3 linked regions of the Tamandua tetradactyla genome follow. The protein of the gene in region 1 purifies or fractionates together with the protein of each later gene. This does not show direct contact. Links are inferred from orthologs where the notes say so. Each region holds a gene or a part of one and is shown in the gene's direction. Other genes may lie near its edges.

What was found.
Region 2: the proteins of VSX1 (region 1) and USP12 purify together in Homo sapiens (affinity purification with mass spectrometry; 3 studies listed by BioGRID and IntAct, counting the BioPlex papers as one, with this or other methods). This does not show direct contact. The link is inferred for Tamandua tetradactyla from reciprocal best matches to the Homo sapiens genes VSX1 and USP12.
Region 3: the proteins of VSX1 (region 1) and WDR20 purify together in Homo sapiens (affinity purification with mass spectrometry; 3 studies listed by BioGRID and IntAct, with this or other methods). This does not show direct contact. The link is inferred for Tamandua tetradactyla from reciprocal best matches to the Homo sapiens genes VSX1 and WDR20.

Annotation. Positions count from the first base shown.
Region 1 is NC_135327.1:35,045,141-35,053,107, forward strand, and holds the start of VSX1 (visual system homeobox 1), read left to right. Parts: upstream 1-4,961; 5' UTR 4,962-5,048; coding exon 5,049-5,475; intron 5,476-7,590; coding exon 7,591-7,669; intron 7,670-7,967. UniProt on the Homo sapiens protein: Binds to the 37-bp core of the locus control region (LCR) of the red/green visual pigment gene cluster. May regulate the activity of the LCR and the cone opsin genes at earlier stages of development. Dispensable in early retinal development.
Region 2 is NC_135330.1:192,409,172-192,416,161, reverse strand, and holds the start of USP12 (ubiquitin carboxyl-terminal hydrolase 12), read left to right. Parts: upstream 1-3,985; 5' UTR 3,986-4,073; coding exon 4,074-4,121; intron 4,122-4,216; exon of another isoform or gene 4,217-4,288; intron 4,289-5,188; exon of another isoform or gene 5,189-6,990. UniProt on the Homo sapiens protein: Deubiquitinating enzyme that plays various roles in the regulation of the immune response and inflammation.
Region 3 is NC_135338.1:63,627,583-63,635,420, forward strand, and holds the start of WDR20 (WD repeat-containing protein 20), read left to right. Parts: upstream 1-4,833; 5' UTR 4,834-4,895; coding exon 4,896-5,144; intron 5,145-7,838. UniProt on the Homo sapiens protein: Regulator of deubiquitinating complexes. Activates deubiquitinating activity of complexes containing USP12. Anchors at the base of the ubiquitin-contacting loop of USP12 and remotely modulates the catalytic center of the enzyme.

The DNA of each region.
Region 1 (7,967 bases):
CTGCTGCAGTGAACTTGACTGCCTCTCCTTGAGTCTTTGTCCATGTAGGAACTAGGGTCCTGAATGGTTCGGGAGCAGGGCACAAAGCATCCATCACCCTGTGTTTGCTTGGGGCCTCCTCTTTAGGGTACCTCCATGAACCCTGTACTTGTTTGGATACTGAGTAGTCCCAGTCTGAAAAATAAGTTCCACTCTGGCAAATGAGGCATTGACCAGACCCAAGGTGTGGCAGTGGGAGGGGAGAGGGAGCCTGCTTCGAGGGAGACACAGGGTGGCAGTGACCAGGAGTCAGGCTTTTGACTGATACAGCGCAGGTCCAAGCCCTGGCTCTGCCCTTGCTAGTGGGGTGACTGTAGACAATTTGTTGCCCTCTTGGCGTCTCTGTTTCACTATCTGTAAGATGGGGACGATGATGTCATCCACCCTTGGAACTTTGACCAAGATAGAATGTGGTCCTATAAGAGGTGTGTTACTTTAGTTACGGTTAGTGAGTAACTGGAGGTAAACTTGGGGGGAGGTTAGTCGAGGTTGATGCTCAGGCTTCCGTTCGGGTCAACAGGGGGCCAAGAAGCCATGGGGAATGGGGGCTTGGGGGATGATGCTGCCTCAGCTCTGGATGGGCTGTGTCTCTGTGCTCCTGGCAGACTGCACAGAGGTTCAGGAGCCATTGGATATGTGGGCCTGGGGTTCAGGAGCCAGTCCTGCTGGGAGGCAGATTGGAGAGTTCCGGGCAATTGTGCATGGGATTTCAGGTGAGGGAGAGAGAACAAAGTCTACCAGGAGCCCTTGAATCGCAAGTGCTTTAGTTTGCATTTCTCAGGTGATATAATTGTATAGAGAAAGCCCAAGGGACCCCTCAGAGCCAAGGGAAGAAAAAAAAAAGAAAAGAAAAAAGCCCTTCTAAGTTTTTTCTTTCTCTTTTTCTTTTGAAATTTGAAATCCCCACCAAAGCAATGACCCTGATAGCCAATCAAACCTCTGGCTCATTACATTTGACCTATACAAAATAAAGTCCACCTGCCCTAAACTCACCTCTATATGCCAGACAAACCCTGCTCGGATCCGTAGAAGTCAAGCTAACTTCCTTCTTATGTCTATAAAAATCGTTGGCTATCCCTAGAACCCAAAGCTAATCCTGTTCTGGCTTCCTTTTCCACAGCAGAACTTTGGTGTCTGGAATAAAATGCTGCAGTCTTCAAACTCCCCTCCCATTTGTCTTTCACACCAGAAACAGTCTCTCAGCCAAACGTTTTGGGGCAAGTTATTTATCTGGGAGGTGACTTCCAGAAACACTATCAGGATGGAAAGTGCCTGAAGCCGGGGATCCTTAGAGGCCAAGCTGGCAAGGTGAGTCTCCAAGTGGCACAGGAGAGTTACGGGGTAAGGGGTTAAGGAGTTGAGAGGCAAAGAAGGAGGGGAAGGAGCTGAGAGGGATGGGCTCTTAGGTCAAGTCACATCTTGGCCTGACCTGTGAGGGGTGGAGGTTTGAAGCAGAAATGGCTCTGCAGAATTATCCCCTTTCCAAGTCAAGGCATAGCCTTTTGTACCTAGAGTTGGGCAATCAAATACTGTCTGCAAGTTCAGTGGGAGGGGGATGGGGTGGGGGTGCCGGCTGTAACTTCCTCGTTGAGGGGCTTTTGCCAGCAGAGGGCTATTTTCCCCAATAGGGGGCAGAGGTGAGCTGTTAGCAGCCGCGTCCACACCCGGGATGATGCTGGAAGGGGGTCTGGGTGCGGAAAGGGCAGCATCCAGGAAAGGAGCAACACGGGATGTGAAGGCTAAAAGTTTACTAGCGTGGATAACTGCAGCTCGATCCTGCAGGGGCCCACTCCCAAGAGATAGCCGCCCAGGCTGCTGGAGCTGGGAAATTTTACACTCTTAACTCCGGTAGGTTTTCCTAGGGGCCGTTCATTTTTGACTCCTTTGCTTGGAGGTCAAAAGCCGACTGGAAACTAGAGGAAGCCCTCAGACGACCTCCTCTGCTGGGGGTTGGTGCGCGGCAGCGCCTGGAGTCTGTGGGGTGTGGACAGGAAGCCCAGGAAGCAGGGAAGGAGCAGCCAGAAGGCTCAGAGGAAAATCAGGCGCACAATGAAGTCACCTGATTCCTCTGTGCGCGCGCTCCCATGGTGAGACGTTTAACCCGAGTGTGCTCATCCACAGAAGGCGGACTTGCCGAGCATCAAGGCCAGCTCTGAAAACCCCAAGGGGGATCGATCTCTCTGTGGATCCCCCCACTTTCCCCCCACCCCCGGCCTTGTCTCAACTGGGAGGCGCGGGTGGTCCTGGCAGTGGAGGGCACACTGGCGCCTGGCATTAGGGAGCCCTGCCCTGGAAAATAAGGAGCAGAGACGCTTTTACTGATTAGTTAAATCCAGGATAATCCCGGCTGATGAAGACCCATTCGGACCCCTTAACGGATTCAGGGTTCCAAAACGACTCCGGGGGCTGGTCCAGGGCGGGGCGGGGCGGGAACGCTCCGGAGGGCTCAGCCTCTGGCAGCGGATTTGTTTGTGCGTGTGGGGGCAGGGGTCTGGGAGAAGGTCATCCTCTACCCCGCCAGAGCGCAGAGGCATCTCCTTTCCAGGTCTCTTAAACCCACCAGAAGCGACTAGACGCGCTCCCCGCTCCTTGACCCATGCTGAGCGAAGCCCTTCGCCCTCCTGGCTCCAGCCGCTGCGCCCCCACACCCCGGTGCCAGGGCTCTGAGCCCATCCGGTCCCACGCGCTAGTCGAGTTTTGATTCCGGGCAGCGACCTGGATTAGCGCGAAGCGGGGCGGGGAGGCAGTGAAAGTGTCCTCGGGTGCTCCGCCACGACGCTGCCAAAGTGGAGGCACCCTGGGGTTCAACACGCCTCTTCCCTGCGGGTGGAACCGGTGGAGGCGTTAGGAACGCTCTGGTCCAGGGTTCCCCTTAGAGCCCCGGCGTGACAGGATTTATAAGCCTTAGATACTCTCATCAGTAAGATGAGATTTTAAACTCCCTCCTCCTCCAAGGGGTTGGAGACCTAGGCCCACGTGATCAGTCGGCTTGGGGGGCCCGAGGTTGCGCCCCGGAATCTCTGGGCCCTGACACATCTACTTGGGGTCTGTCTTTTCTCGGTGATCTCCTGCTTCCACTAGTAAAAGTTTGGGGGAGGGAAACCCCAACATCCCTGCCTGGGCGAAACGTCGCGGACGGCACGTCCAGGTTGCTAGCAACTTGTGCTTGTTCCCGCGCGCAGGCGGGCGACCTCCTACACCCTCCCTGCGCGGATGACCTCGCTCGGACCCTTTAGGGCCGACTGTTCCACCTGCCCATTCCGGACGCGGACGAAATGTGTGAGATCTAGCTCTGTCCCTTGATTGAGATCCTAAATCTGGATTTACAAACGAGTTAAGAACGCTGCCTGGCGAAAAGCCAGAACACCTCCGCTGGGGCCTGTGCCTCAATGTCTTCCCCTGAACCCAGAGATAAACCTTGGGGAGAAATTCCTGGCTGAGCCCAAAAGGATTGGGTGTCTAAAGCAGCCCACCAGCCTGGGCGAATCAAATGACAGTTATTCCAAAAGAAAGTTATTGTTTTGCTAATCCGGGGAACAGCTTGTGAGGGGAGATTTGGGTCTTCCTTTAATAATGGAAAGTTAATGCACAGTCTCTCGTAATTATCTTTATCAGAAGCCCCTTGTATAATCTGCATGCTTAGCTGCAGAGGACCCAATCCAAGGCGCAGTGAGAGTTCCACTTTACGTGCCCAGGCGAGAGCTGTGCGCCCGTGAGCCGCGCCGCCTCATCGAGGCTCTGACAGTTGTCCCTTTCCTCGCTGGGTCACTTCGGACTGTCAGGCCCCCGAGAATGGACTGCAGAGGGAAGGATAGGCTCGGGGGGAGGTGGGTGGAATGGACAGCGAGGAAGGCAGAAGACAAGAAACAAAAATAAACGAACAAACAACAACAGCAAAAAATGAGACTAAATTTAGACCCATTGTCTCTACCAGCGGTCTCAAATTCCGGTGGGTGAGCTAGGCGTGGCTTGACCACGTGTTTTGTTTGGCCCACAGAGTCTCCTAAAAATAGCTAAAATTTTAACAAATACCGGTATTTCACAGGGTGATCAGGCTGTTGATAGTCATAAACCCTGACAGTTTATTAGCCCGGGCACCGAGGGCTGCACCCCTGTAGACAGGCCCTATTTTTCAGCCCCGCCCCGCTTCCCACCTTTAGGGTTGTTCTATAAATACTGGCTCACATGTATACCAAAAATTCACTGTTTATATGAAATTCAAATTTAACCGGGCCTCTTCTATTTTTATTTGCTTTGAAATCTGACAACCCTATCCTCATTGTCTTAGCCTTTCACCCCGTCCCCTTCCAGCTTGTCACCTGCCTCTGGTCTTTGCCCTTTTCCCACTCCGTCGGAGATTTTTGACACCCCGCAGCTGGGCCGCTAGAGTGCTGGGGACAAGGAGAGGGATCTGGCTAGAGGGCAGAGTGGCAGTGGACTAAATAAACGTTTTCACCTTTTTTTTTCCCCCCCTTAGGGATCCCCTGGGAAGGCCTCTTTGGCTCCTACGGAGGAGTCGGAGCGTCCAGCGGCAGTGGTGGAGGTGTGGCTGGAAATTGGGGTTCTAGGCATTAGTGGGCTCCTAGGCAGGGCAGGAGCCCTTCAGGGCAGGTGGGAGGGACATCCACCTGCAAAGTCGGGGAGCGAAGGGAAGACCACTCCCTCCGGGGTCTGAAACCCGCGGCTTTTAGAGCGACCGGCAGACAAGCGGGCTTGTTGTCCCCTCCCTCCTTCCCTTGCCCAGCTGGAGAGGAGAGGGGAAAAGGAGGGGGACTGAGGGGACTGCAGCTGGGAGGGCGGTGACCTAGGGGAGGGGAACCGGTGGCGTCCTCATCTTGTGAGGTCCGAACCACGGACGCGCCCGCGCCCGACGCTCCCGCGCCCAGCTGATTGGCGCTCTCGCGCCTTCCGCGCCCGACGGAAGGTCCAAATGTATAAAGGGTCTTCTGAGCTGGGCCCCCAGCGCAGAGAGGACCCGGAGGGGGTCGCGCTTCGCCGGCTGAGAAGACATGACCGGCCGAGACGCGCTTTCCGACGGGCGCGCCAAGAGCACTGTGCTGGTACCCGGTAGCGCCCGTCCCGGCCCGCGCCCGCGGGGCTTCGCCATCACCGACTTGCTGGGTCTGGAAGCCGAGCTGCCGGCACCGGTCGGCCCGGGGCCGGGATTGGGCTGCGAGGGCCCGGCCACGCCCTGCCCGGACACTGGGCTCGGCGGCCCCTGCCTGGCACGCGGTACCCTTCCGTTGGGGCTCAGCTTCCTCTGCGGCTTCGGCGCACAGCCGTCCGCGGCCGCCGGGGCTTCTTGCCTGCTCCTGGCCGACGTGCCGTTCCAGCCGCCCGGGGGCCCAGAGCCAGCCGCCCCGCAGACCCCCGGCCGCTCGCGCCCACCGGCCCTGCTCGACCGTGAGGAGCGCAGCGAGAGCGTCTCGGCGTCCGGTAATCAGTCCCCTCGTCCTGCACCTCACCCTGTTTCCCTGGGCTTTGGGCAGTGCTAGGGTAACACACTGTCTCCTCCCTACGCCCTCACCCCCAGCATCTCGATTCAAGGAAAGGCGGGACTCCAGAGCAGGGTCCCCTGGCGAAGGAAGAGTATCCACGCAACCTCGACCAGTCCACGCCCCATCGTCTCCTGCCCAGATGCCATCTTTCCCGGGATCTGGCCCCGGCTGTGCTGCATGCACCACCACCACTGGGTTCCGGGCCTACCTTGGGGGTCCCTGAACCCATCAACCAGCTCCTTTCCCGAGAGTCCCGGCGCGAATTTAGGCCTTCAGGAATAGCGTGGGTCGAGAAAGCGGAGGGCTGTCTTGTTCACCAACAGAACAGCACCTGGTACCCAGTGGGCACTCAAATGTTTGCTGAATTGATTGAATCATTGACCAGTCCTTGGCGAGCGCGCTTGCCAGAAGTCCTGGAGCTGTCCGTTCACGGCGTGCTGAAAACAGGGTTCTGGGTTTTTCCTTTCCTCAAACCCCCTACACATAGGAAGGAAAGCTACCCGGCGGGTTTCGTTGTACTTATGCATGGCGTTTTGTTCGCAACTCATCTATTGCCACAAAGAATTTGCCACGGGGAAGGAGAGGGAAGCAGTGGTATTCTATAAAGGACAAGGGCCAAGAAATGGAGAGGTGTGGGGTACGGGGGAAGAAAAGGGAGAATTATATAAGAAAACGTGGTCTGAGGGAAACTATGTCATAGAACCTAGAGCTGAGCATCCAGGCAACCAAGGCAAAAAGGGTACATTGGTTCTCTCTGACAATGAAAGAAAACAAGCCAGGTCAGCAATTGGGTGAGGATTTGCCCAGAAATGAGTTCTAACAGGAATCCGTTCATAAGTCTATATGTAAGATAATACGAAATTCCCTTTTAGTTGCGTCACTAAAAAGGCAGAATCTACTTTCACAGTATCCATTCTTTTTTCTAAGAGAGCTGATAAAAGGCAAAAGGCAGCTAAATCCTAGTCTGTTGGGCATTTTTGGAAGAGTGGCATCATCCAATAGAACATGTGAGCCAGTTGTGTAATGAAAATTTTTCATGGCCACATTAAAAAATAAAAAGAAGTGGGTGGAAAAGATCTTAATACCATATTTTATTTGACCCAATACGTCCAAAATATTATCATTTTTCATGCGATCAACATAGATTTATTAATGAGATGTTCTACCTTTTCTTTTTGTAAGTCTTTTAAATCCACTCAGTATTTTATATCTATAGCAGGTCTCACTTTGGACTAGCCACATTTTAAGTGCTCAATAGCCATGCAAATGGCTGCCAAATTGGGCAGTGCAAACATTAAGTATGCTAATCCAAGCATACAGGTTTTTTTTGTGAGCTAATTGATATAGGAGCAAAACTGATATTTGCCTTTCTTCATTAAATTGTTAATATGTTGAAGACATTATGCCTTATAACAATGAATGGCAATACCTGTCTCACTTTCCTTTCCTTCTACATCTTTTGATATGACAGATTTAAAAAGATAAAGCCTAGTGGAGTGGTTATTAAATTTTAGATTGCATATGAATTCTCTGGGCATATTTGTCAAAAATGAGTTTCTAAATTTGTAGGGCAGAGCAAGGGGGTGAGTTTCTGACTAAGATTCTGATGATACAAACCTCAGCCTTCCCTATGAGAAAGCCTGGTGTTGGGGCGGAGGTAAGGAAGGTGGAGGCAGAGGGAAGTGGATGAATTGGAAGCTGTTTGGGGGAAAGAGAATGTAATTGGTGACCAAGTAGCTTTGTCATTTGTGATGTGAATCCCAGCTTCACCATTTGTGTGACCTGTGTGATCTTGGGCAAGTTACTTAACCTCTCTGTGTCTTGGTTTCTTCATCTGTAAAAATAGGATAATAATATCCCATTTGTAGTTTCTTTATTTGATGAAGAATAATTGAGATAATTGCCTGGACAATGCTAAGCATTGTTTGATGCTTTAATTGTTCCATGTTTATATTCCTGGACAGGCTCACAGCTCCAACCCCTTGATTCAAATCTGGAAAATAACATGAAAAAATACACTCAGCTTTAAAGTCCTCTCTTTGTGTCCCAACAGATGAAGACAGCTTGTCAGAAGGCAAGAGTGACCTGAAAGTGTCCACCACCCCAGGCAAGCGGAAAAAGCGGCGGCACAGGTAATGTGCTGACCGTCCTCTCCATCCCATCCACTGCTGTCTTGGGACCCAGCCCCCAGTACTGTGGGACCAGCATCTGGGAATTGATGATCCTGGATCATGACAGCCCAGAGGCCTCCTAGTGGGAATGAGAAGGGCAGAGGGGCACGTGAGAACATAATTATGCAATTTCAAGTAGGCTGCTGGACAATCTCCATGGCATTTCTAAATTTTATTTTGGTGCCTGGTTCAGGAATTGAACCCAGGTCTCCTGCATGAAAGACGAGCATTATACCACTGAACCACCCATGCACCTCAA
Region 2 (6,990 bases), on another chromosome or scaffold:
TTACTACTCTATCCCACTCCTTCTCTACACAGAAGAAAAGAGTGGGTGGCGCAAGCAGTTGGAAAGGAGTCCCCTTCTCCAGCCAAGCTCAGCCACTTTTGAACAGGATCAAAACAGTTGAAATGATTGTGTTATCCTCACCAGCGTGTTGTTAGTCTCCTCTAGTGGGACCCACATTAACGAGGACCCAAGTACACAGAGAAAGTATTCTGGCTTACTTTATACTCAGCAGGAAGCAGGCTGTCTCCTATTGCAGACCTGTTATTATTTTGATGTCTCCTTGAAATTTGCTTATTCTTGGAAATTTGCTCATTCTCCTTGAAATCTGCAGGACTGGGATTCCATATGGACTGTCGTGTGGAGCAGGTTTTAAGGTAGGCTGATTCTGCCACTTATTATGGATGGGTATGACGGCAGAAGTCCCAGAGAGGGTCACTGTGGGTTGGATTGTCCCCTGGACATTTCGTACTCTTCTCCACAAACCCCCTGCAACACGCCCCATAGATACCTTCCACAGGTTTCGGGGCTTTCCCTCTGCCTAGAAAACCACCAGCCTTCCCCATCCCTCCCCATTGCTCAACCTAATCTTCTAGATTGTGAAGCACCCCCCACCCCCAGCTCACCCCTCCTGGGGGAAGAGCTGAACACACTCTCTTGGAGCTGATACCACTTGGTCCTTCATTCTCTCATCTCGTTTACCGTAATAGTCATCTGCCTATGCCAATGGACTTTGTGCTTCCTGAGGGCAGAGACTTCTCTAATGCACTATTAGATGATCAATAAATGTTTATTGTAAATTATGAGCACACATTTCAGTTTTTTTAAAAACATTTTTTTTGTGTGAAATATAACATATATAAAAAAACAATAAATGTCAAAGTACATTGTAACAAGTAATGATAGAACAGATTTCAGACTTTGGTATGGGTTACTGTACCACAATTTTAGGTTTTTCCTTCTATGTGCTCCAAGACTTTGGAGACTAAAATATCGATAAAATAATTCAGCAGTCATACTCATCTGTTAAATGCTATCTTCTCTGTTATAATTCCTCCTTCTCCTTTGATCTTTCTCCCAATCTTTAGGGGTATTTGGACTATGCCCATTCTAACGTTTTCATGTTGGAAAGGGTTGTCGACAATATGGGATAGGGGGATGGAATTAGTTGATGTTCTAGAGAGGCTGGGCCCCCTGCGTTTCAAGACTTATCTGTCCTAGGAACCCATCTGGAGGTTGTAGGTTTCTGGAAAGTAATCCTAGTGCATGGAACTTTTGTAGAATCTCAGAAAGAGCCATAGGGGTTCTTTAGGGTTGGTAGGGATGGTGTTGGTTGGGGTTTGGCAAACTATGGCAGTTAGCAGTATCTAGCTGACACTTGCATAATAGTAGCCTCCAGAATAGCCTCTTGACTCTATTTAAAGAATATCATCTAATTTCTAAACCTCTGAGAGTAAATTGTAAACATCATACCCCACAACTACCCTACTCAATACTTTCATGTATATTTCCTAAGAAGAAGTATAGACCATCACTGGGATTTTTTTTTTTTTTTTTTTTGGACATCCTCTGCTTGGAGACCTGGGAGTATTAATCAATACCACTAGGAAAGGTCAATTCATTCCCTGTCTAGAGGCAGGGTAGAGGAGGGGAGACACCTGGATTTTAGATCCAGGGCAAATGGGTGTGGAGAGGGCAGGAGTGCATAAAGGTTTTCAAATGAAAAACTTTGAAATAAAAGCACTGACCAAACAGATTAAGGTTGGCCTTGGTTTGTTCACTTACTTGACCCAGGAGGTATTTGGGGGGTATTTTAATGCTTGTACATTCAGGCAGGCCCAGAAATGGTACAATGAGGCTCTTGGTGAAGCTCAGACAGTTGCAGGTAAAACGTGTTCCACACCCAGTATACTCCTTGCATGCTCTGGGTGCAAGAGTGTGGGGTTCCAGGCAAGTCTTATCCCCAGCTGCATCACACATAATGGAAAATGCTCAGGCACAGCACCAGGCAAAGAAAGGGCTCTCTTCTTATATTTGAGTCTTTCTACTCAGCCTTAAGCTGGGGCGACAAGACATGTTTGTCCTGTCTGTGAATTCAGATGGCTCTCTACTGGACACGACTCCACATGATGCCATCAGAAATCCATTAAGTAGGCCTCGCTATCCTATAAATGTATGCATAGAGCTGGATTGAGTGGCCTCTGTTCCTGTCACGTTGTAGGTTTCAAGGACAAGGAGGCATGGTGGTGGGCGACATCGAAGGAGGAGGAGGTCAAATTCTGGCACATTCGATCTGCTCACTGGGACAAAACAGCAGGTGGAAGGACAGGATGTATAACAGACATTTTACCAAGATGGACAGGGCCCAGCGGCGTGGAAGACGAGGCCCAGGCAGGCCCCTAGGGTCTACGATGTGATGACTCTTGTCCAAACAGTGAGTAGCATAAAGCAAGAAAGAAACCAAGTGGGCGCTGCTTGCGAGTCTAGGCAGGGAAGCTACACACCTGTAAGTATGACCATAAGAAATGGACCTAGCTGCTGGCTTGGTGTCAGGGCAGACAGCCAGGGCCACGGCTTCCATGGAGAACCAGGCTGGCTACTATGGGACATGGCTATATTCAAGCTAATTTCCCCTACACAAGCTTATAATGGGAATCACTATGGAAACAGCACTCATGTAACAGAAATTTATTTCTCACCTACGTTGTGTGTGAATGCTATGTTTTGGTTTGAAATGCTTTTAGCCTATGAGGTGAGGCATACCAGATATTAGAGCTTTGTCTGAATTCCCCCCAGCCCGGCTGAAATGGAAGTTCCCCATCACCACGGATTGCCACTTGAAAAGTACCACAACCTTTCTAATACAATAATTTATAAAGTTCTCACTCGAAGTACTTTCTCATAAAGGAAGACACACAGCTGAGCTGTCTGACTTGAAGCACAGGTGCGACGGTAAATTTTATAAAAATAGTGAAGAGGAAATATCCCACCAGCTAACTGCTGCTTTAGGGCATCTCTCACTCGTGGGATCTAACTTCTGGTTTGGTCGCATCATCTCACTGCTGGGTTGAGGTCTTTCCTTTTATACAGGCCCTGTTGTCTAGTGTAAATATATTTAGATACTGTATTTATAAACACATTTTAAAGGCCAGCCGACAGGCAGAAAGCCAGGGTCCCTTATTACTCATCTTTTCTCTTTCTCTCTGTATTTTTCTTTGCCTTTCATTTTTATTAATTTACTAAAGTTACAGTACTTTCATCCAGATAATTATTCAATAATAAAATAAAACACCCCACAAAAAACCAAATCCCTTGCATTTTGGTATGTGCATGGGATGCTGTATTACTCGGGTTGTCTTGAAAGAAGGGGGTCTCCTCTCACCCCACCCGGAATGGTCGGATCATCGCCTCCGGTTTCGGCAGTGGTGGCTAGCTGGCTTGAGCCCTGGGGACAGGGCTGCGGGTCATGCCCCTTCAGGGTTGACCCTGGTCGCCCCCCGCTCACCCAGCCGCGCCGCGCCGCGCGCACCCCTTGCTGCCACTCTTCTCGGACCGCTGATGGCGGTCTCTAGGACCACGCGGGAAGCGGGGACAGGAGGCGGTGCCCGCCGCCACCCCGTCCCCAGCCGCGCGCGGAGTGAGGCGGACCCGGGAGTCCCGGCTCTAACGCTCTGGGACGGGGGAGGTGGGGCCTCGGCGGGGGGCGGGGCGCGCGCGGGGCGGGCCGGGAGGGAGCGCGGGCCGCGCGGCTGTGGACCGCCGGGCATTAGGGCCGGGGCGGAGCCCGCTCGCCGGGCGCGCAGGGTGGGGTGTGCGGCGGCGGCTTCTCGGGCAGGCGTGGGCCCCGAGGCAGCGGCTGCGCCCTGCGCGGGTGAGAAGCCGGGGCCGGAGGCCGAGGCCGGGAGAGCCCGAGCGCCTGCGGCGGCGGCGGCGGCCCTTCGGCGGCAGAGAGGGCTCGGTCCGGGGGCGCGCGGCGACGGCTCGGGCCCGCCGGGCCTGCGGCGAGAGCGAGCGGCCGGGCTCCCTCCTCCCGCGCCCGCCGCCGCTGTGATTGGGTGGAAGATGGCGCTGGGCGAATGGAAATCCTAATGACAGTCTCCAAATTCGCCTCCATCTGTACCATGGTAGGTGCGGCGCGCGGCGCGGGGGCGGCCCGCGGGGCCTAGTGGCGGGGGTGGCGCGGCCCCGCGGGGCTGTTGGCCCGCGCGGGGCCGGGGGGCTCGCGGCCTCGAGCCGGGGAGAGGAGGGCGCCGGGCGTTGCCGGGGGGCCGAGGCGAGCCGGCCGAGGCGGGTGGGCGGCTGCGGGCTTTCGCCCCCGGCTGGCGTGCGGGAGTCGGGCGGGGACCGGGCGGGAGTCTGGTGGGAGGCGGGTGGGGGGCGCGGGCCCGGGCGGGGGTCGGCGGGGGGACGCGGCGCCAACGGCTCGGTCTCCATTTTAGAGTGGCCGCGCGCGGAGCGGGAACTGTCCCCGGGGCGGGGGGGGCTCCGCCGGCAGGAAGGAGGGTCTCGCGGGGACGGGCAGAGGCTCGGAGTCCTGCCGGGGCGGCGGACGGAAGCCTAGTGCCCACTTCCTCGCCGGGCGGAGTCCTCCGACCCGGCTCTTGGGGGGCAGGGGGTGTGTGAAGGTGGAAACTTTAAATAAGTGCTGCGGACATCTTTGGATTTTCCACTCAGTGTGAGAGCGATGAGCTCTCACGCTCCCAGCCATGTGTCCAGGTGGCGGGCTTGTCCCCTGGAATCCACGCCAATCGTGAAAAGCAGGGTTCGCTTTCCTGTCATTTGTTTAATACACCAGACACATCTGTGTGTGTGTGGCTTGAAGTATTTCTGTGCAGAGACGTCACCGCAAGCGTATTGTATTTGTTTTGTTAGGGCTTTCAGATAGGCTTTAAGGGAGAACCGCTAATGTCCGTTTTAAGTCCCTAATTAAGCAAAAATGTGGGTGTGTTTAAAACTTGGCGTTTTTATGTTTGGCCACCAGGACTACGGTTTCCACATAATGGGACAGAATTTGTGTGATGAGCTCCTTATGAGTTACATCTAGGGATCATAATTCTGAGTCATCCCCGAAAGAAGTTAATTCTTTGTAAAGTGGGCCTAAAGTGGTTATATTATTGAAAATTTCTGAAATCTTTCCTTCTGTTTCAAGTCTCACTAGCCTTTTTTTTTTTATGTGCCTCATTGCATATAGGAAATCCCCAAGCAATCTTCGGATCCAAGGGTGGTTAGTTTTATATATCTTGCTTTAAGGAGTGGAGAATGGGATCGGGAAAAATCTTTAAAAGAAGATTCTAGATTTACTGCACGCTGAGAAACAGTTTTTAAAAATGACTGAAATTAGGTGGACTTAAAATCAACAGAATTAAAGAAATCGTATTGAAGGATGAATCATTGAAGAGTCCATTTACCTAAACGGATGTTTGTATTCTCTCACAATGCACATTTTAGAAAAGCGTTGATATTAAAGAGACTATGTTAAAACAATTTTTGCAGATCTCTTGGGCTAATTATTTTTAGATATGCCAAATGTTATCTTAGTTTCAAAAGGAAGGTGATAATTAAGTCTTTTAAAGTGATAACCTTGCTGTATTGCTGAGCTACACACTTTGTCGGGTCATAGTTCATTGTTAAGGTCTAGGGTTTTGGGAACAGAGGGTGTGTTACTTTATACTGACTAGTCTTCATTCAGTCAAATACAGAATATATTGGGCACCTCCTAAGGGTTAGGCATTGTGCTGAGTGGGTGGGCTACGGCAGCCATAAAGCCCAAGTCCCTGCTTTCCTGGTGCTTATATTCCAGTTCAGGGAGACCAACAGTCTTCAGGTGATCATATTAAAGTAATATATGCTGTAATAAGATTAGGAAAAGGAGGCACAGGGATTTGCCAGCGTCCTGCAGTAAGTGGTATTCTCATCTCTGGAATGTCAGACACTAAAGTGCTTTCTAGGGCTTCCGCCCAGGTCCATTAATTGGAGTGGTGTGTGTGTGTGTGTGTGTTGTTGGCAGATACAGAGACATCTGTTCATGGCCAAATGAGATTGTTCCAAAGTAGTATTGCAGTTGGGTGGGTCTGTATTCGTATCTGATGTGCTCCCGAAATAAAGTGCTAAGTATCTTGAAATAATCTGCAGTCATATTCTTAGTCTACAGAAAACTGCAGTCAATCTTCTGAAAAATACAGCATTGACAGTTGAGATGAGTAAGGATATTTTTCTCTTTTCTTCCCTGTCCTAGTCTGGCTGGGTCCTCGTCTCTTAAGCAGGTGTCCTTGCCCAGCCCCACTCTCTAGCCCCCTCTTACATAATTTCAGAGCATTTTTGTAATCTCAGTAACACTTATCATACTTACTGGTTGTATGTATTTCTTGTCTCCCTGTTAGATTGTGGGACCTGAGGCCAAGGATTATCATTTATTTCTCTCTCCTCAGTATCCAGGCCACTTTGATCTAGAGCACTAACCTCTGCGTACAATAAAAAAAGTTTCCCAGAGTGCATCCTTTCTCCCACCCAAACCTGGGGAAAGGGAGTTTGGTTAAGCACCGGAGAGATGGTGGTGATGGGGGCCAATGTGGAGCCCCTGGGAGGCGAAGGGCTGAACCTAAGGAGGGCACTTCTTGGAAAATTAGCAGCTGTGAAAATAGTAGGATGAATTGGAATTTTATTCTATAAATACCAAAGTATATGTAATTTCTTCTTGGGCAAAGCTGTAATACTGAAATTGGGTTAACTCTGTTAGAAGAAATCTCAGTTATGCCTTATTCTAGGTCACTGTTCTGCATTTACACGTGGACATGAGGCACCTTTGTTTTTCTGAAGTTAGTACTATATAGCTTGATCTAAAGGAATGATTTTTATTTTGATTGCAGTGAATTTGCAAAAGTACCTTTAGAAATGTCTTTTTTTTTAGATTTGTCCACGAAATAATCCATTTGCAGCATCACGTGGTGTTCATTTTGCCTCTGAGGCAGCTTCTGATTTCAGGGTCTGGCATGG
Region 3 (7,838 bases), on another chromosome or scaffold:
ATTTCAAACTAAATTTATTTTAACATTTGATCCCCCTATTATTTATTTTTATTCCATATATTCTACTCATCTGTTGAAAAGGAGCATCAGACACAAGGTTTTCACAATCACACAGTCACATTGTGAAAGCTGTATCATTATTCAGTCACCATCAAGAAACATGGCTACTGGAACACAGCTCTACATTTTCAGGCAGTTCCCTCCAGCCTCTCCACTACATCTTGAATAACAAGGTGATATCTACTTAATGTGTAAGAGTAACCTCCAGGATAACCTCTCGACTCTGTTTGGAATCTCTCAGCCATTGACACGTAGTCTCATTTCACTCTTCCCCTTTTTGGTTGAGAAGGTTTTCTCAATTCCTTGATGCTGAGTCTCAGCTCATTCTAGGATTTCTGTCCCATGTTGCCAGGAAGGCCCACACCCCCGGGAGTCATGTCTCACGCAGAGGGGGAGGGTAGTGAGATTGCTTGTTGTGTTGGCTGGAGAGAGAGGCCACATCTAAGCAACAAAAGAGGGGGACCAAAGTTTTAAATACCATCTATGTGCTGATGACTGTCAAATATACATCGGCCACTCAGATCTCTCTCCAGACTTGATCATTCAACTGCCTCCTGGCCATTTTCTCTGAATGCCTAATAGACATCCATACCAACATTTTCAAAGTTGAACTCCTGATCCTCCTTTCAAAACTTGCTCCTTTCCAGACTCCCCCCTCTCGATTAGTGATATCTTCATCCTCCAATTGCCTATGCCTACCATGGAGTCGTTCTTGACTCCTCCATTTCTCTTACAAGCCACATCCAATCTGCTGGAAAATCTTACTGGTTTTACTTTCTGAATTTATCAAGGATTTTCTTAAACTCTCAATCTCAATTGCTACCATACCTATCCAAACCACCATCAATTACCTTTGGCCTGGATCATTGCAGTTAGTCTCTTACTAGGCTAGAGGCCAGCCTCAAAGACCTTGCTATTCCTTGAACATTCTTGGCACTCTCCTGCCTTGGAGGCTTTTGCTTGATCTGCTCTTTTCCCAGCTCTTCCCAAGGCCCATTCCTTTGCCTCTTTCAGGTCTTTGGTGAAGGGTTACAGTTTCAGTGAGGCTTATTTTGACCACCATATTTAAAATTGCAAACTACTCAGCACACTCCTAATGCCCCTTACACTGCTCTACTTCTTTTTCCTAGCACTAACCTATATATTTATATTTACTATATATATATATATTTATTTATTTATATATTCCTCAGTCTCCTGTTATCCCCTGCAAGAACAATCTCCATAAGTAAAGGAATTTTTTTATTTATTGATGCATCCCAAAGGCTAGAACATTGTAGCATATTGGAGGCTCTTAAATAAATGTTTGAGGATATGAAAAATTTTAACAAGGTTTCTCTTATCCTTGAGTGTGCTCACAATCTGGCTGATAGGTTGGGTATATGCATTCAAAGACAAATATCAACATAATATATTAGCATATGCTAATAAACACCAAAAGAACATTAGAATGGTAGTCAGCATATTATATAATTGACAATCAAAAACTCAGAGAAATGTCATAGAAATTTAGCCCGGTGATTCTTAACTTTAGGGCGAGATTTTTAACTCTGAAAATCCGATGAAAGCTATACTCTGTTGATTAAGTGAACATATACATATAATTTTGAATACAATTAAAGGTTTAAAACACTTCCTGGAAACAGCCATGGATCCTGAATTGAGAATCCTTGGTTTAAAGTACAGTATATTATATCACCAAGAAGACTTTGGGAAAGGTTTGGTGAGGATGGGCCATAAACTAGTTCTCGAAGAACAGCCTATGAAGAAGTGAAATAGTTAAGAGTGACAGCTTTTAGCTGTTTACAGATTGACAGTAATGAGGATTTATGTGGTAAATAAGGGGTAGGCTGAGATTGCGGGTGGATACTTAAATCCTGTGGATACTGCCAAGTCACTGAAAGTTTTTGGACTTTGTTTAAAGCAGTGTTTTAAGAAAAAGCAGTGCTTTTAAAAATTAATTTCATAGTTGTTTATAGGAGGAAAACTGAAACTAAGGAAATAATTCAGGAAACCATTAGATTCAAGTTTGAGGAAATGGAAAGGGAACTGATAAGATTTACAGACTGATCAGTTTGAGGCACAAATTCATTTAGAAATGCCTGGTTTGTAAATGAAATTCAGAACTATATAACTACATTAGGCCTAGTTATACTGAATCCTTGGGAGTTGGGAAAAGAAAATATAAGAGAGAAGTACTCAGATTATTCAAATGCTTCAATTGGGGGAGGATGGTATAAGAGTAGTTCAGTTGCAGAATTCTTGCCTGCCATGCAGAAGACCCATGCTCAATTCCCAGCTGTGCACTATCCCCCTCTCCAAAAAAAAAATCAACAAATGGTGCTGTAATAACAGGACAGTCACATGGAAAAATAACGAAATGTCACCCCCACCATACAGCATTAAAAAAAAAAATTCCAGATAGGACAACATATTAATATTATTTGAATTTATATGCTGAATAAAACAGTAATAGAATGCTTAAGGTCTATAGGTCTTTTATGTAATTGAATGTTCTGGTTAATCTAAGGCTAATAAAAAATTTGCGTTCAAGCTGCTGCTTGCTGAGTCGTCCCCCCCCCCCCCCCCCCCCCGTTCTAGTTTGCTAGCTGCTGGAATACATTTACCAGAAACAGAACGGCTTTTAAAAAGGGGAATTTAATTAGTAGCTAATGTCCCAATTAAAACAAGTCTATAGAAATGTCCAATCTAAGGCATCCAGGGAAAGATACCTTGTTCAAAAAGGCCGATGAAGTTCAGGGTTTCTCTCTCAAGTGGAAGGGCACATGGCAAGCACAGTCAGAGCTCTCTCTCATCTGGAAAGGCACATGGTGAACAGGGTCAGGGTTCCTCTCTCATCTGGAAGGACACATGGTAAACACAGCTTCATCTGCTAGCTTCTTCTCTCCTGGCTTCCGGTTTCATGAAGCTCCCCGGGAGGCATTTTCCTTTTTCATCTCCAAAGGTTGCTGGATCGTGGACTCTCTGCTTCGTGGTGCTGCAGCATTCTCTGCTCTCTCCGAATCTCTTTCATTCTCCAAAATGTTTCCTCTTTTATAGGACTCCAGAAAATTATCAAGATCCGCCCAAATGGGTGGAGACATGTCATCACCCAATCCAGTTTAACAACCACTCTTGATTAAATCACATCTCCAGGGAGATGATCTGATTACAGTTTCAAACATACAGTATTGAATAGGGATTATTCTGCCTTTATGAAATGGGATTTAGATTAAAACATCCGTTCAAACCAGCACACCCCCCAAAAGCATTGTTATACTTTTAATATATATACCTTTTTCCTTCTCTTGATAACTAGGGAATACAGGTGAATTGGTTATACATGACTGAGGATGTCACTAGTTCTTCAAGGTGATCATTAAAAATACAAAATTTTGATGTAAAACACAATTATAGCAGATTGGGTTAAATCCATGGTATCATAGAACATACCCTGGTATTTTAAAAGATTTCTGATATCTATTTGACTTTTAGAGAAAGGCAGATGCCATGAAAACAACTGTAACAAAATTTTTTACATATTTTAGGGATTTATTAAGTAAATAGATTTTAGTCTAGTGCTTTTTTGCCAACATGCTCAAAGGTGCAGGATGTTAGTGTCAAATTCATTATGAGATCATTGGCAGTTTTTACTTTTCACTTGTTTTGTAATACATAAGATATTTATGATTTAGGCACCCTCACTTTAGAATTTACCTTCCTCAGTTTCTTTTGTGACCCTCTAGCTAGGATTTGAACTTGAAGAAACAGTTCATTCTTGGTGTAATCAATGTTGGCTTTTTTCCTCCAGGAATTATATCAGATTATTTCTGTCACTTAGAACCTTTCTTATTCTACTGCAACATTCCAAGAAATCCAGGTATAAAATGGTGATTGTTTAACCTTAATTTAACACCCATGCAAGTTCCTGCATAACTAGATCTAGTTTATGCATACAACTATACCTATGGATCTCCTAGTATTTTCACTTAAGGCCTTAAAAATAATTCAGTGACTTCTTTTTTTAATTAAGAGCTCTTAATCAACTATTGAGCATAAGTGAATCCTGCAAAGATTCAGCCTCTGGTGCCCAAAGCCATTTCCCGCCCCCCAGTTTTCTCTGAACAACTACTGGTGAAGACAAACTTCAGTTAAGAACCAGAAACGCCAACACGAACTATTCTCCTTAAAATTAGCCACTGCTCACTGCAGAAAGGAATTCAATGCTTGACCTGCAAACACCTATGCCATATGTATTTATACCCCACCCCACCCTCCCAAAAAGATGGTGAAGCATGAAGCTCTAGTCCTTCGGTACCTTCTAGGACCGACTCTAGGAGGTGCCCAGACCTCGGGATAGACATGCGGGTCCGGCTCAGCCCCCCGCGGGCTGGACCGTCCCCGGGCAGCCGAGGGCGGGTCCAGGAGGGGCGCAGCAGCGCCCTCCCAGCGTTGGGGCCCCCTCACGCCAACGCCGGCCGCAGCTGAGGAGGCTCCCCCAAGTTCACCTCAGTACTCCTGACCCCACCCCGGTCGCTGCTTCCCCTTGACGGCTCTCTCCGAACGCAGAGGAGCTCTTTGCGGGTCAGCGGATCGAAACCGTCCCCCACCTGAGTCTTCGCGCACAGCGCGCCAGGTGAGCACGCCTGCGCAGTCGGGTGGTAAGCAAGACCACCCCTTTCCTTCCGCGCGGCTCCGCGGGGCTGCTCGCGGGTGGGAGGGGCTAGACGGAAGAGGCGGGGGGTGGGGGGTGGGGAAGAGCGAGAGCCAGGGACGGCGCCTGCGCGGTGGGCGTGATCCGGGCACTTAGGGCAGGATGAACGCTGCTTTCCAAGATGGCGACGGAGGGAGGAGGGAAGGAGATGAACGAGATTAAGACTCAATTCACCACCCGGGAAGGTCTGTACAAGCTGCTGCCGCACTCGGAGTACAGCCGCCCCAACCGGGTGCCCTTCAACTCGCAGGGATCCAATCCTGTCCGCGTCTCCTTCGTAAACCTCAACGACCAGTCTGGCAACGGCGACCGCCTCTGCTTCAATGTGGGCCGGGAGCTCTACTTCTATATCTACAAGGGGGTCCGCAAGGTACCGACCCGGGCGTCGCCGGGGCTCGCCTGCGGCGTGGGCAGAGGCCGGGAACAAGGCAGTGACAGCGGGGGCCAGGGTGACCGACAGGGGTAGCCTTCGCTCTTACTTTTGAGTGGGCCGGTAACTCCACTGGGGTGTTTCTGAGGAAAGGGGATTCATGAGTAAGGAGGGTAGTGATGGTAGCGTTTCGAAGGGTTCGGGGAGGTGGATAGCGTCCGTGGGATGTGGGGTTCCGGCTGGGAGGCCTCAGAGGAAAGAGCTGCCTCCCTCCAGCAGGTCAGTCAGGCTCTGACATGGCCAGTGAGCGGCCTGCGAGTCCCCGGAAGAGGTAGGGTGGCCGTCTTATTAGCCCAGACCATCTCGCCTGCCCGGAGGTCTGGGAGTCTTGCTCTGGTTTAGGGAACGGGCTCCGGGCTGCTTAGGAAGCTCTGTAAGGCGGAGTTGGGATTGGGAACCGGAGACTGAGACTAGGTCAGAAAGGACCTGCTCGGCACGAAGGGCTACTCCACCTGCTGCCGCACTGACACTTCCTCAGAGCCTCTCCTTGTGGTTTTAACACATCTATTTCCAAAAACATCTGATGGAGGAGGCTGTCATTGTCTCCTCCGAGGAAGCCTTTTTCTGAGAGATTATTAAAGAGGATTATTTTACAGTTGGGAGATCGAAATGATGTTTCCAACCAAGTAAACTGGTTCACAGGGGTTCTGTGTGAGCGTGCTCAGATTAATCTTGTCCAACAAGTCAGACTATGTCCCAAACAGGGAGGGATATGGCTTAAAAGCTACTTGACAGGAACTACCCTTCTTGGCGGGTAATTTAACAGTAATTCTGTGAAGCATGTAACCATCCTTTAAAATATCTCTTTAAAAGCAGCAGTTCATTAGAGCTAGTCCCCTCACCCCCCCCCCCCGCCCGCATTAGATATACAACTGTGTTCTCACTGAGAACTGCTTACTTTTGAGATTATGGTCTCCGATTTGACTCGGAAGAGTGAGGAAATTAATGCACTCCACAGTACCTCGGTTTGAGAAAAGGTGATACAAGATTAATTTACAAGTGTTCGGTTAGAATGAAAATATTTGGTGCATATTGAAGACTGAACATTCTTTAGGATTCAGTATTTCCAGATCCAGTACAGAATTTTTATTTGGTTATGAGAACTAGGGAAGTGACAATGTTAACTAAATGTATCAAGTTTTCTCGTTCTTTTCAAGGTGAATCTTCTTTGTTAGCGTTTGTCGTTTGTCATAATAAGTGTATTATTGTGTTTAGAGTATGCCATTGGTAGTTACAGGAAATAAATCATTTGACCTTTTTTCCCCTTTGGGAATTGGGAAGGGGGTGAAGTGTTTAGTAGTCTTGGAGATGAAATTTTAGTCTTAGTCCCTACTTTGTAACTGACTTATTGGACAAGTTATTTAACGTCTATCTTCTCCTTTTTGAAAGGAGCATGTGGAAGTGTATATGTTGTAATTGATAATATAATAATTGTGATGAACTTTAAAGCCCTGAAATACTTAGTAGATGCAAAATATAGTTAAAATAAGCATTTAGAGTAACTGTCAAACAGGAGGCTGCCATCTTGACATTCGCATTAGGCCTGTTTTCTTTGGAAATATGTTTAGATTTTAAGTTATTAAAATTTATTTATATAAAATTTATATTTATATGCAAAGTGCTTAAAAACTTAAATTCACTAGCAATAGCAATCACTAATATAGGCATTACCCTTTTAAAACATTTTCTTTTAAAACTTTATCTTTTTATATATATTTTTTGTTTTTGAGGCATTCTAATGGCAAGCCTTATGTGAATATTAGTCCTGGTTTGCATCATAAAACAGGGCTCTTGCCTGAAAGTATGGTTAGAACAGTGTTCTCTTTTAGTGGGACACTTTATTCCCTGAAGGGTAAAACTAAGAGCTTTTCAAAACAATATCCCCCCAGAAAAAGATCTTATGACAACTCCTAAGCATTTAAATTACCTTTACCTGCATAATTTATTTGAGCATTTTAACTTCATTTTTGTAAAATTTCATTTTCATGTGGCGTTGTCTTTTAAATATATTTGCAGTAAGTAGTGGACATTTCAGTTCTCTCCTAGGTGTTGTAATTTTGTTTTGTTTTTGTTTTCCATGAATGACTTTGCATTCAGTTATTTTTTAGTGTAAATGATTGTTTTTGTGATTTTCTTTTTATTTTCTGATTTTAAAACAGAGCAAATAACTTATCCTTAAAAAAAACAAGAGTTATTTTTTAGTGTTAGGAGTTGTAAATTTTGGGTTTTTTTTTTCATTAAAAAAAAAATTTTTATTAATAAAACCAATCAACATACAATATGAATATTCTTTTTTATCACATAGTTGTATATTCATCATCATGATCATTTCTTAGAACATTTGCATCAATTCAGAAAAAGAAATAAAAAGAAAACAGAAAAATATTCATACATACCATACCCCTTGCCCCTCCCTTTCATTGATCACTAGCATTTCAATCTACTAAATTTATTTTAACATTTGTTCTCCCTATTATTTATTTTTAATCTATGTTTTACTCATCTGTCAATAAAGTAGATAAAAGGAGCAACAGACACAAGGTTTTCACAATCACACAGTCACGTTGAGAAAGCTTTATCATACAGTCATCTTCAAGAAACATGGCTACTGGAACACGGCTCTATGTTTCCCTC